Saccharomyces cerevisiae S288C: one gene and its partners. Changing the gene in region 1 together with any one later gene gives a genetic interaction. Each region holds a gene or a part of one and is shown on either strand. Other genes may lie near its edges.

What was found.
Region 2: mutations in SPS1 (region 1) and AAH1 together harm fitness more than expected from each alone (negative genetic interaction), as found in Saccharomyces cerevisiae (2 studies listed by BioGRID).
Region 3: mutations in SPS1 (region 1) and FAA1 together harm fitness more than expected from each alone (negative genetic interaction), as found in Saccharomyces cerevisiae (2 studies listed by BioGRID).

Annotation. Positions count from the first base shown.
Region 1 is NC_001136.10:1,485,328-1,489,086, forward strand, and holds SPS1 (putative serine/threonine protein kinase SPS1), read right to left. Parts: upstream 1,712-3,759; coding exon 239-1,711; downstream 1-238. Other genes in the region: GTPase-activating protein AGE1, read right to left, coding at 2,215-3,663. UniProt on the Saccharomyces cerevisiae protein: Serine/threonine protein kinase required for spore wall development.
Region 2 is NC_001146.8:357,975-361,184, reverse strand, and holds AAH1 (adenine deaminase), read right to left. Parts: upstream 1,590-3,210; coding exon 546-1,589; downstream 1-545. Other genes in the region: THO2 (Tho2p), read left to right, coding at 1-261; YNL140C (uncharacterized protein), read left to right, coding at 1-268; ammonium permease MEP2, read right to left, coding at 2,233-3,210. UniProt on the Saccharomyces cerevisiae protein: Catalyzes the hydrolytic deamination of adenine to hypoxanthine. Plays an important role in the purine salvage pathway and in nitrogen catabolism.
Region 3 is NC_001147.6:907,185-910,943, forward strand, and holds the start of FAA1 (long-chain fatty acid-CoA ligase FAA1), read left to right. Parts: upstream 1-2,158; coding exon 2,159-3,759. Other genes in the region: metal cation transporter COT1, read right to left, coding at 1-371; YOR316C-A (uncharacterized protein), read right to left, coding at 542-751. UniProt on the Saccharomyces cerevisiae protein: Activates long-chain fatty acids (LCFA) by esterification of the fatty acids into metabolically active CoA-thioesters for subsequent degradation or incorporation into phospholipids.

The DNA of each region.
Region 1 (3,759 bases):
CACAAAATATTTTTTTTGAGACGCATCAATGACGGGACAGTAAAGACATAAACGCTCGATCAGAAAAAAAGAATCGAAAAAAAAAGGGAGAAATAAGCAGGTAAATAATCAAAAACACATGACTTTTTACTGTTTGTTATATAATTCAATATATCCATCCTTCATTTATTGAAGATGAAAGAGAATGGAAAACAAAAACTCATGCATATACACACATTATATATATATATCTATTTTTTTAAACGAATCCTTTCTTTATTGCTTCAATTCTTAGTGAGATCTCTTCTATAAAAACCTCATTAAATCCAGGAACGTTTGCCTCAGTTTTAATGAATTGCTTTAACATTTCATTTACGTATTTTCTTGTTTCATCGTCGCGCGCACGATCATACATTCTGTTGAGAATATGAGATACAATGTTTTTCAAGTAGTCAAACTTTTCTATCTTCAACGCCTGAATATCGTTCTTTTTATGCTTCTTATTATGATTAGAGAGAGGAACTATTTCGGTCTCTGCTTGAGCATTTGGGCAGCCTGAATCTATATCCATTCCTGAATCAAGCTCGAAAACTGGTTGCGTACATTTTCTAAATGATGAAGAACTTGGGTTGGTTATCGGCGTTACAGTTTGCCCATGAAGTAAATAAGGACTTTCCATATTTAAAGATGATGTTGGAGAGTCTTGTGTAATGGGAGATAATTCCTCTTTGGAAATTTGTGTTGTGCTTAGTCTTGTCGATTCAAAATTCCAAAATTCCTTTCCCCTCACTGTGTTGCTGTTTTTATACAAGCGATTTTGAAGAGGGTATTTGGGAACTTTTGTATATCTCTCCTGAACCTTTTTCTGTTTAATTAGATCAACATCACTTTTCAAGTTCGTTATGGTGATATTCTTAACAAATTCAAATGATAACAAGTTATATGCCGATGGCCGATCAGCAGGTGTTTTAACAAGACAACCAGCTACGAAATCCTTTGCTGCATCCGAAAAGGGACCTTGTAATTTTGGAGGCTTCCTTTTTGGTAAGTTAGTCATAACTTTCATAGGATCATATTTAGATAATGGGGGTAAGCCCTTGAGTAACTCATAGGTGGTGATACCCAAGGACCATATATCTGCTTTCTCATTATACCCATCAACTTCGCAGCAAACAACTTCCGGAGCCATCCAATACGGCGTTCCTACAAAAGTGTCCCTTTTCAAAGTGGAACGAATGTGGCCACTTACTCCGAAATCACCCAACTTAACCATACCTTCTTCATTTAGTAAAATATTAGCTGCTTTGATATCACGATGAATTTTCCTTTGCTCATGCAGGTATTTCAAACCCAAGGTGACTTCATGAATAATGAAGGAAACTTTTTCTTCAGGCAAACCGTTGACGTAACTTCGCTTCAGTAAATCTGAACATGATCCACCGCCGCAATATTCCATGACAATCCACATAGAGACATCTTCTAACATTGTTGCAATATAGTTTGTAATAAGAGGAGATTTCAATTCCGCCAGAAAAAAAATTTCCTGTGCTAACAGTTCAATGTCTTCGTCGGAATGCTCCAGGTTGACCACCTTAATTGCCACAATTTCTTGCGTAACTCTATCCACTGCTTTATACACATCACCAAAGTTACCTCTGCCAATACATGATTGGATGGAATATAGCTTCGATGGAGGGGTTCTTGACCTAATTGATATTTCTTTGCTTTCCATTTTGTGCTATTTTCTTTTGTTGTTTAGTAAATGAATTAGCTAGTAAAAAAACTAAATTTAAAAAGCAAATGCTGGTTTGCTTTCTTTTGAGAAATGTTTGCTAAGACAACTGACTAGCCAGGTGTTCACTAAATCGATAATATTGAAAATGGCAAAATAAGAAAAAAAAAGAAGAGAATTAGCTGGCTTTTTTTGGATAGGAAATATTAAATGAAGCAGTTGGAACCAAGATAATAAACAAAAACAGTATATTAAGTGACTCTTTAGTATATATCTGAACTAACAAGTAAAATATCGATGTTAGAAATGGTTACAATAGAAGAAAGTAGTGTCATTCTTTCGCGTCAAAAAAAAAAAATGGAATTTGTGTCTTTTTCGTTTTTATGTGTCATTTTTTTTTATCCCTGATGCCGCATTGTTCCGAACCTGGGACAGCTCCGAAATATAACTTGAGGAAAAAGTATTAGAAAAGGGAAAAAAATACAGTTAAATTATCATATATGTTATTTTTTGTCCTTTTTGGCCAATTTTAAAGACTTATGCATTGTTAATAAGTTTGTTGGGGACATCAAATTTTGAGAAGACTTAGGAATGGAGCTCAAACTCCACCTTTTACTTGCTGAGGCACTTCTTTCAGGTATGTTAACTCTCAAATCGTGTTTCTTATTGTAGGACGAAGCTGAATCTACATTTGAATGCATATTTAAATGCGGCCCTGATCTTGGACGAGAAGTATTTACAGCTTGGAATGTTCCGTACATCTCCAACTTAGTTTCCCAATATTCTAAAACCTTTGGAGACCAATTCGTAGTAATCTTCGGTAAATTATCTATATGAATACCATTGCACAATAAAAATTCTGTAATAAAAAAAATGGGCGTTCCATCAACAATTTCATAGTGCTTTAGGGAATATTGAAAAATGGAAGAATGGTTTAGATCATTCTGCTCTTTTTCGCTTGCCGTCAATTCTCTTAGGGAATATTTACTTTGGGCGATGGCTCTTTGCATCATGAAAACACTATCTAAATGGATAGCTTTAATTAAAGACTTCAAAGAAGCCTCTCTGCCTTGGTTGCTGTCGATAACAAACTTTTTAAATTGATACTTATCAATAATGAATTTGGATCTTTCCGAGTCATCAGAATTTGCAGTTATTTTTTTAACTGGAAAGTTCCTGAGATTGCTTTCATAAATGGCATTAACATTACTATTGGAAACATTATTTTGTAAAAGATGCATCAACTCTAACGAGGTGAAATTATCCAGCGTTAAAGATCTAATTTTGGAGATATGTGAACCCAGAGATCGATGAACGCCCGAACATTTGATACACAATATACACAATAAATTGATTGACACCCATTCTACTGTTGCGGTGCTACCGCAGTCACAACACTTCAAATTAGATTTATCAATTTTGCGCACGATTGATAGCAGTTCGTCTCTATTGGAGGCTCCCGCATTAGCAAAAGAGAAATGCTGTGTATGCTGTTTGGAGGAATCTGTTTTTGTAGGAATACGGTTATTACTATTACTGTTGCTACTGCTACTATGAATGGGATGAGTTTGATGATTGATGTGATGAGAATGCGTAGATTTGTGTTGGCTCCCACTAAGACGGGTTGATAAATATGTAAATGACAGTTGGGGTGAACGAAATGGAAATCCTGATGGTAAAGAAGGAGGTATTTGTAGTAATATCAATGATTCTTTCGCGGCCATTAATAAAGCGATGCTTTTTAAAATAACACAATATACCTCAAAACCTCGATCATCCTCGCAGCGGTTCGTTTGAAATTTACATCGAAGAGATTTAAGAAGAATATTAGTTAACTTTAACGCGTTGTTGCACCATGATGGATACTGTGCTTTTGATGCTGTTCTTGCTACTGTTCCTTTACTGAACAAAGGCACAACATTTTTGTTGATATCAGTAGTATAAAAATCCATTATTGATGGAACATCCAGAAAAATGTATTCAAAATGACTGGTACAGCTACCTTAACCACTCTGCCTCAATGTGATTTTTATCCTCTTTTTCGCTCA
Region 2 (3,210 bases), on another chromosome or scaffold:
AGCAAAGCCAACCCTTACCAAGCTTCATCTTACAAGCGCGACTCGCCTTCAGAAAATGAAGAAAAGCCGAATAAAAGATTCAAGAAGGATGAAACAATTAGAAACAAATTTCAAACGCAAGATTATAGAAATACACGAGATAGCGGTGCTGCCCATAGAGCCAATGAAAATCAAAGGTACAACGGAAATAGAAAGAGCAATACTCAGGCGCTTCCGCAAGGTCCCAAGGGTGGGAATTACGTCAGTAGGTACCAGAGGTAATTACTAGTACTTAACATACCCGAGCTGAATTTTAACGTGTACTTTGATAGTTCCCGAATTGTAATCTCGTGAAATACAAAAGGTCCAGCTAATGCTCGTATAATCACTCAAATAAGTTTGTAGAATTCTATTGTATCCTTTCCCACACAAAAGGGGATGTAAAAAGCATCAAAAACATCGAATGAAATTTGTGCATACACATAGTGTTATAAATTTACAAAAAAGCGCTTATGAATCGAAAAAGACTTTCAACAAAAATATTATACAATGTCTTGCAAATGGTACTAATGCGAATATTTAGTGACTACTTCGTCCACTCTACTTAACAAACCGTTCTTTCTTTTATCGTCACACCATGAACCTTTAATGGCGTTCTTAGCGATACGACCCCATGTTTCATGGTCCCAGTGTGGGAAATCTTTCGAAACTTGAGTGTAGACATCTAAGATATAACCACCAAAATAGGCGGGGTCATCAGAATTTAAAGAAAATGGAACATCTCTGTCAAGAAACTTTTGTAGTGGTAACTCTGAAACGGATTGGACTACTTGTAGCTTCACGTTGGAGAGAGGACAAATAGTTAGCATGGTCTGGTCGCGCGACAACCTATCCAATAACTCCTCGTCGTATTGACTGTTGATACCGTGATCGATTCTTGTTACTTGCAACAAGTCTAAAGCATCCGAGACGAATTGAGCGGGGCCTTCTTCACCTGCGTGTGCAGTTAGTTTTAAATCTTTATTCAATGAGGCGGCCTTTCCGTAACATTCAACAAATAAATGTGGGGGAAATGGTTTCTCAGCAGAATCTAATCCTAAGGCAGAGATAGTACCATCTTTAATAAATGGGGTAGCTTCTTCGATAGTTTTCAAACATTCCTCTGGTTCAATGTGTCTTAACAGACACATAATTAGCTTGGATGTAATACCAAATTCAGAGAAGGCTTTGTCACAAGCTCTTTGGAAACCTTTAGTGACTGTTTCTATGGAGATGCCCCTAGATGTATGTGACTGAGGGTCGTAAAACACTTCAGCATGGACCAAGCCTTGTTTGTGAACTTTTTTAAAATAGGCCCACGCCAAATCAAAGAAATCTTGTTCACTAATCAAGACATTAGTACCAATATAATAGTAATCTAAGAAATCCTGCAGATCACGAAACTTCTTATACTTTTCGTTTAATTCCTCGACCGATTTAGGAAAACCTTCAGGTAGAATTATATCGTTTCTTTTAGCTAATGGGAACAATAGGTCAGGTTCTAGAGTACCTTCCAAATGCAAGTGATGCTCACATTTTGGTAACTCCTGTAAAAACTCCACAGAAACCATTATTTTTTTTTTCTTTTCTTTTGTTAGTTCTAATGGTAGTTATTATTTCAAAATAACTATAAATACACAGGCCTGCTTGTCAATTATTCATTTGCAAAAGATGTCGCTTTCATAAGCCTTATATGTTAATTTTTTTCAATCTTCGTTGGCATGCGATGAGGTCAGTTTCCTGCGCCATTTCAGTGCAGTTTCGAGAATTTTAAGATTCAAAAAAAAAAAAAAAAAAAAAAAAAAAAAAAAAAAAAAAAAAGAAAAGAGATGGAAACAGTGAAAGATAAGGCAAAAAGGAAGTATATCAAGGTTTTTACATCAAAATATGTCTTCTATAAGCGATGAAAATTTGCAACCAAAGCAAAATAAACCTTGTGCTCTTTTCCTGTTAACAGCATATATAGGGTATATAGAGGCTTTCTTAAAGAAAATTTCTTGCTATCATGCTCTGGAGATGCTGTATATTATAGTGTGCACAGTTAAAGTCATCGATTATGATAATAACATAAGACAAGAGAAGTAATACTAACGTCTCCCCTCATCATTCGGAGTTATCAAAAAAAGAAAATATATCAAATATTAAAAATAAAATTATTAAATGAAGCGTTACATAAAGATTAAACATAAAATCATAGTCTGCTTGAGTATATCATTATACTATATGGTCAGTGTTCTTAGTAGAAGAAGCGTCGGAAGGCGTAGAATTCTTTTCTGCGTCTGTGTTACCCACAATCTTATCATCAATGTTTTCATGAGGAGGTGGCATTTGTGCCGATGTTTTAGATCTGATTGGTTCTGGGATGTAAGCAGTGGATTCCTCGTATGTAAATTCACCAATTTGAGCAGCGTCGGTACCTAATTCTTCCTCATCAGCACTTAATCTTAGTTTTAAAAATGGAATGGCATTCATAGTTAGAAGCAAGATAGATGTGACAGTAACAGTCCAGGCTAGTGCAGCGCATATACCTGCTAATTGATAACCAACTTGTTTATAGTGATGATTGATCCAGCCACCATCAATTGGACTAATGTAAGAGCCTGCAGTGGCATTTACATAGTCTGCAGCAAAGATACCAGTTAATACAGAACCAATACAACCACCCACACCATGGATAGAGTAACAATCTAGACCATCATCGATGCGCAATAGACTCTTTAAGTCAACAGCAAGGTTACATCCTGCACCAGTAACCACACCAATGACAACGGCTGACCAGATTGGCACGAACCCGGCGGCTGGGGTGATACCCACTAGGCCAGCGATGATACCTGAACACAAACCAACTGTAGTCCACTTTCTTCCGCATCTGAAATAATCGATAACCATCCATGTCAAGCCACCGCAAGCAGCAGCTAAGTTTGTGGACATAATAGAGTACCATGCTCGTATAGTTGCATTACCTGCAGAGCCTCCGTTAAAGAACATCCAACCAAACCATAAGAACACTGTGCCTAAAACCACCGAGGTGACGGAATGTGGTTTGTACTTGGGCATCCCTTTACGTGTAACAGGGTCATTACGCTTACCCAGTATCAAAGCGTAAACTAGACCACCATGTCCAGATGTTAAATGGACACATAAACCACCTGCATAGTCCAAGCTACCCAATTTGACCAACCAACCCTCGGC
Region 3 (3,759 bases), on another chromosome or scaffold:
ATCAACCCTGCGACACCCACATACAACACAAACTTAGGATTTTCAATCACGGGGGGAGCAATAATTCTTTGTAGCGCTTCTATCAAAATTGAGACACATAAGGCAATCAAAAAGACGGCGTTAATCAGAGCACCCAAAATCTCCGCCCTTTTCCAACCATAAGTGTACGTTGAATCCGGATTTCTGTTTTTGGCAACATTTACGGCCCAAAGTGCAACCACAAGAGAAATTATATCGTTTAGCATATGGAATGAGTCCGCGATTAGAGCCAAAGAGTGAGACAAGTACCCGGTAGTTATCTCGATCCCGAAGAACACTGTGTCTAGCAGCAACAAGGATATAATTTTTACCTGTTTGCTTCCGAGTTTCATATTTACTCAATCTTTCCGTACTTTGTGTTAACTTTCTTTCTATAGCTATGCAGAACTATTCTGAGCAAAGTGAAAATAATTGGTTACTAAATAGAACCAGAAATGCTTTTCGAGCTCCCACGTAGAATATATAAGACCAATAAATTCCTTTATTGTACGGATATTCTGCATTACAAATGAGTCTTCTGCTTTATGCGGATCGTCAGCTTATATTGCCTTCGTACAGAAAATGAAAATTCACTACTGGAAACGGGTGAGCGGATGTATGAGTGTATAGTATACACCCGGTTTTTTTTACCCTTTCTAAGACCGGAGCTGGCGACAGTAAGTGATAAGCGGCCGTTGGCGGCCGTGGGTGAGTTATGCATGGGAACCAGCATGAGCCAGCGATGTTCACTATAAAGAGATTAAATGTAGAAAGTGCTGAGAGACCGATCGATTGGTAAACTTTTCAAAAGGTGGCCTTCTCCACACTTTCTTTTTCCCTCGTTCACTCTGCCTTGATCACATGCTTTTTTCTATGGTTAACTTTGAAAAATTCGTTCCATATCGCCCGCCACAAGTTAAAACCAGATATGCGTGGGATATAGTAGGGTGGACTGTTAAGTTAGCTATAATGGGCTTGTACTCTTTTTGAATACAAAAACCACCTTTCTACACCTTAATACAAGCGGTGGTTGGAAAGCATTCTTGATATATATAATTATATGAGTTTTGAAAAAAAGTACTGGGCATCATTTAAATAAGCGGGCTAAACTTTGTTTATGTTTAGGTTAACGATAGACATATTTATTTTTTTTTCTAGGAATAAAAATGAAGAACGGGAAGAAAAGGAAAAATGAAAATGAAGAATATGAAGAGTAAACCTACTTAAAAAAAAAAACCATACTTTAGTATTTAATGTAGCTACCACGCGTATTCGATACACTATTATTTTTCTTGACTTAGTATGTCAATTGTAGGTAGCCTCATGATGCCCTCTTGATCTAAGCGCGGTGAAAGTCCGCAGGCAATTGCTATAATACTGACAAAATTTATAAGGGGAGAGGGTCTTTTTTCGGTCCGCACGGAGCGGGCGAAGAAAACGTAGCGGTGAGAAAAGAATACGTCACCAAAGTATCAGAAACGTCACTGCGTTGTAGATGTAAGACCGATCCACTTTGCCAGCTGCTTACGCTGCGGAAAGTAAACAGACCTAGCTAGCGGACCGATAGAGCCGGCTGAACTTTATAACAAATGCGCCTTCTAACAAGCGATGAAGCCATGCTTAGCGCGGCAAAGAGAATTACTTAGAATATGGATGATGCAGCCCTGTCATATTCTTCCATAAGGGAATGACAAGGACAATAGTAAAGTCGATCACGCCCTGTCAGGAACATGATCTCCGCCATGTGAATATTTATGCATGATACAGGCACGAATACATCATATAATACGAATGACACAGGGGCACCCACCCATCGCATATCAGGAGAACTTCCCTGTGCATACGGGACAGCAGAGATAGGCTGTTCTCGCGCGTTTTTTTTTTTTTTTTGCTTTTTTTGGTTCCTTTCGCGGATATCGTATTATCGATATTACAACAAAAATGTTTGGAGATCTCCTTCGCTGTCTTTAAGTAAAAGGCTTTAACCGCTTATTTTTCTCTCTTTTTTTCCTTTTACCCCTCACTTGTCGTGAGACAATTGTAGTATATTTAGTAAGTATAGAAAGTTCTTGTTGTTAAAAAACTCGTTAGGATACAATAAAAACTAGAACAAACACAAAAGACAAAAAAAGACAACAATATGGTTGCTCAATATACCGTTCCAGTTGGGAAAGCCGCCAATGAGCATGAAACTGCTCCAAGAAGAAATTATCAATGCCGCGAGAAGCCGCTCGTCAGACCGCCTAACACAAAGTGTTCCACTGTTTATGAGTTTGTTCTAGAGTGCTTTCAGAAGAACAAAAATTCAAATGCTATGGGTTGGAGGGATGTTAAGGAAATTCATGAAGAATCCAAATCGGTTATGAAAAAAGTTGATGGCAAGGAGACTTCAGTGGAAAAGAAATGGATGTATTATGAACTATCGCATTATCATTATAATTCATTTGACCAATTGACCGATATCATGCATGAAATTGGTCGTGGGTTGGTGAAAATAGGATTAAAGCCTAATGATGATGACAAATTACATCTTTACGCAGCCACTTCTCACAAGTGGATGAAGATGTTCTTAGGAGCGCAGTCTCAAGGTATTCCTGTCGTCACTGCCTACGATACTTTGGGAGAGAAAGGGCTAATTCATTCTTTGGTGCAAACGGGGTCTAAGGCCATTTTTACCGATAACTCTTTATTACCATCCTTGATCAAACCAGTGCAAGCCGCTCAAGACGTAAAATACATAATTCATTTCGATTCCATCAGTTCTGAGGACAGGAGGCAAAGTGGTAAGATCTATCAATCTGCTCATGATGCCATCAACAGAATTAAAGAAGTTAGACCTGATATCAAGACCTTTAGCTTTGACGACATCTTGAAGCTAGGTAAAGAATCCTGTAACGAAATCGATGTTCATCCACCTGGCAAGGATGATCTTTGTTGCATCATGTATACGTCTGGTTCTACAGGTGAGCCAAAGGGTGTTGTCTTGAAACATTCAAATGTTGTCGCAGGTGTTGGTGGTGCAAGTTTGAATGTTTTGAAGTTTGTGGGCAATACCGACCGTGTTATCTGTTTTTTGCCACTAGCTCATATTTTTGAATTGGTTTTCGAACTATTGTCCTTTTATTGGGGGGCCTGCATTGGTTATGCCACCGTAAAAACTTTAACTAGCAGCTCTGTGAGAAATTGTCAAGGTGATTTGCAAGAATTCAAGCCCACAATCATGGTTGGTGTCGCCGCTGTTTGGGAAACAGTGAGAAAAGGGATCTTAAACCAAATTGATAATTTGCCCTTCCTCACCAAGAAAATCTTCTGGACCGCGTATAATACCAAGTTGAACATGCAACGTCTCCACATCCCTGGTGGCGGCGCCTTAGGAAACTTGGTTTTCAAAAAAATCAGAACTGCCACAGGTGGCCAATTAAGATATTTGTTAAACGGTGGTTCTCCAATCAGTCGGGATGCTCAGGAATTCATCACAAATTTAATCTGCCCTATGCTTATTGGTTACGGTTTAACCGAGACATGCGCTAGTACCACCATCTTGGATCCTGCTAATTTTGAACTCGGCGTCGCTGGTGACCTAACAGGTTGTGTTACCGTCAAACTAGTTGATGTTGAAGAATTAGGTTATTTTGCTAAAAACAACCAAGGTGAAGTTTGGATCACAGGTGCCAATGTCACGCCTGAATATTATAAGAATGAGGAAGAAACTTCTCAAGCTTTAACAAGCGATGGTTGGTT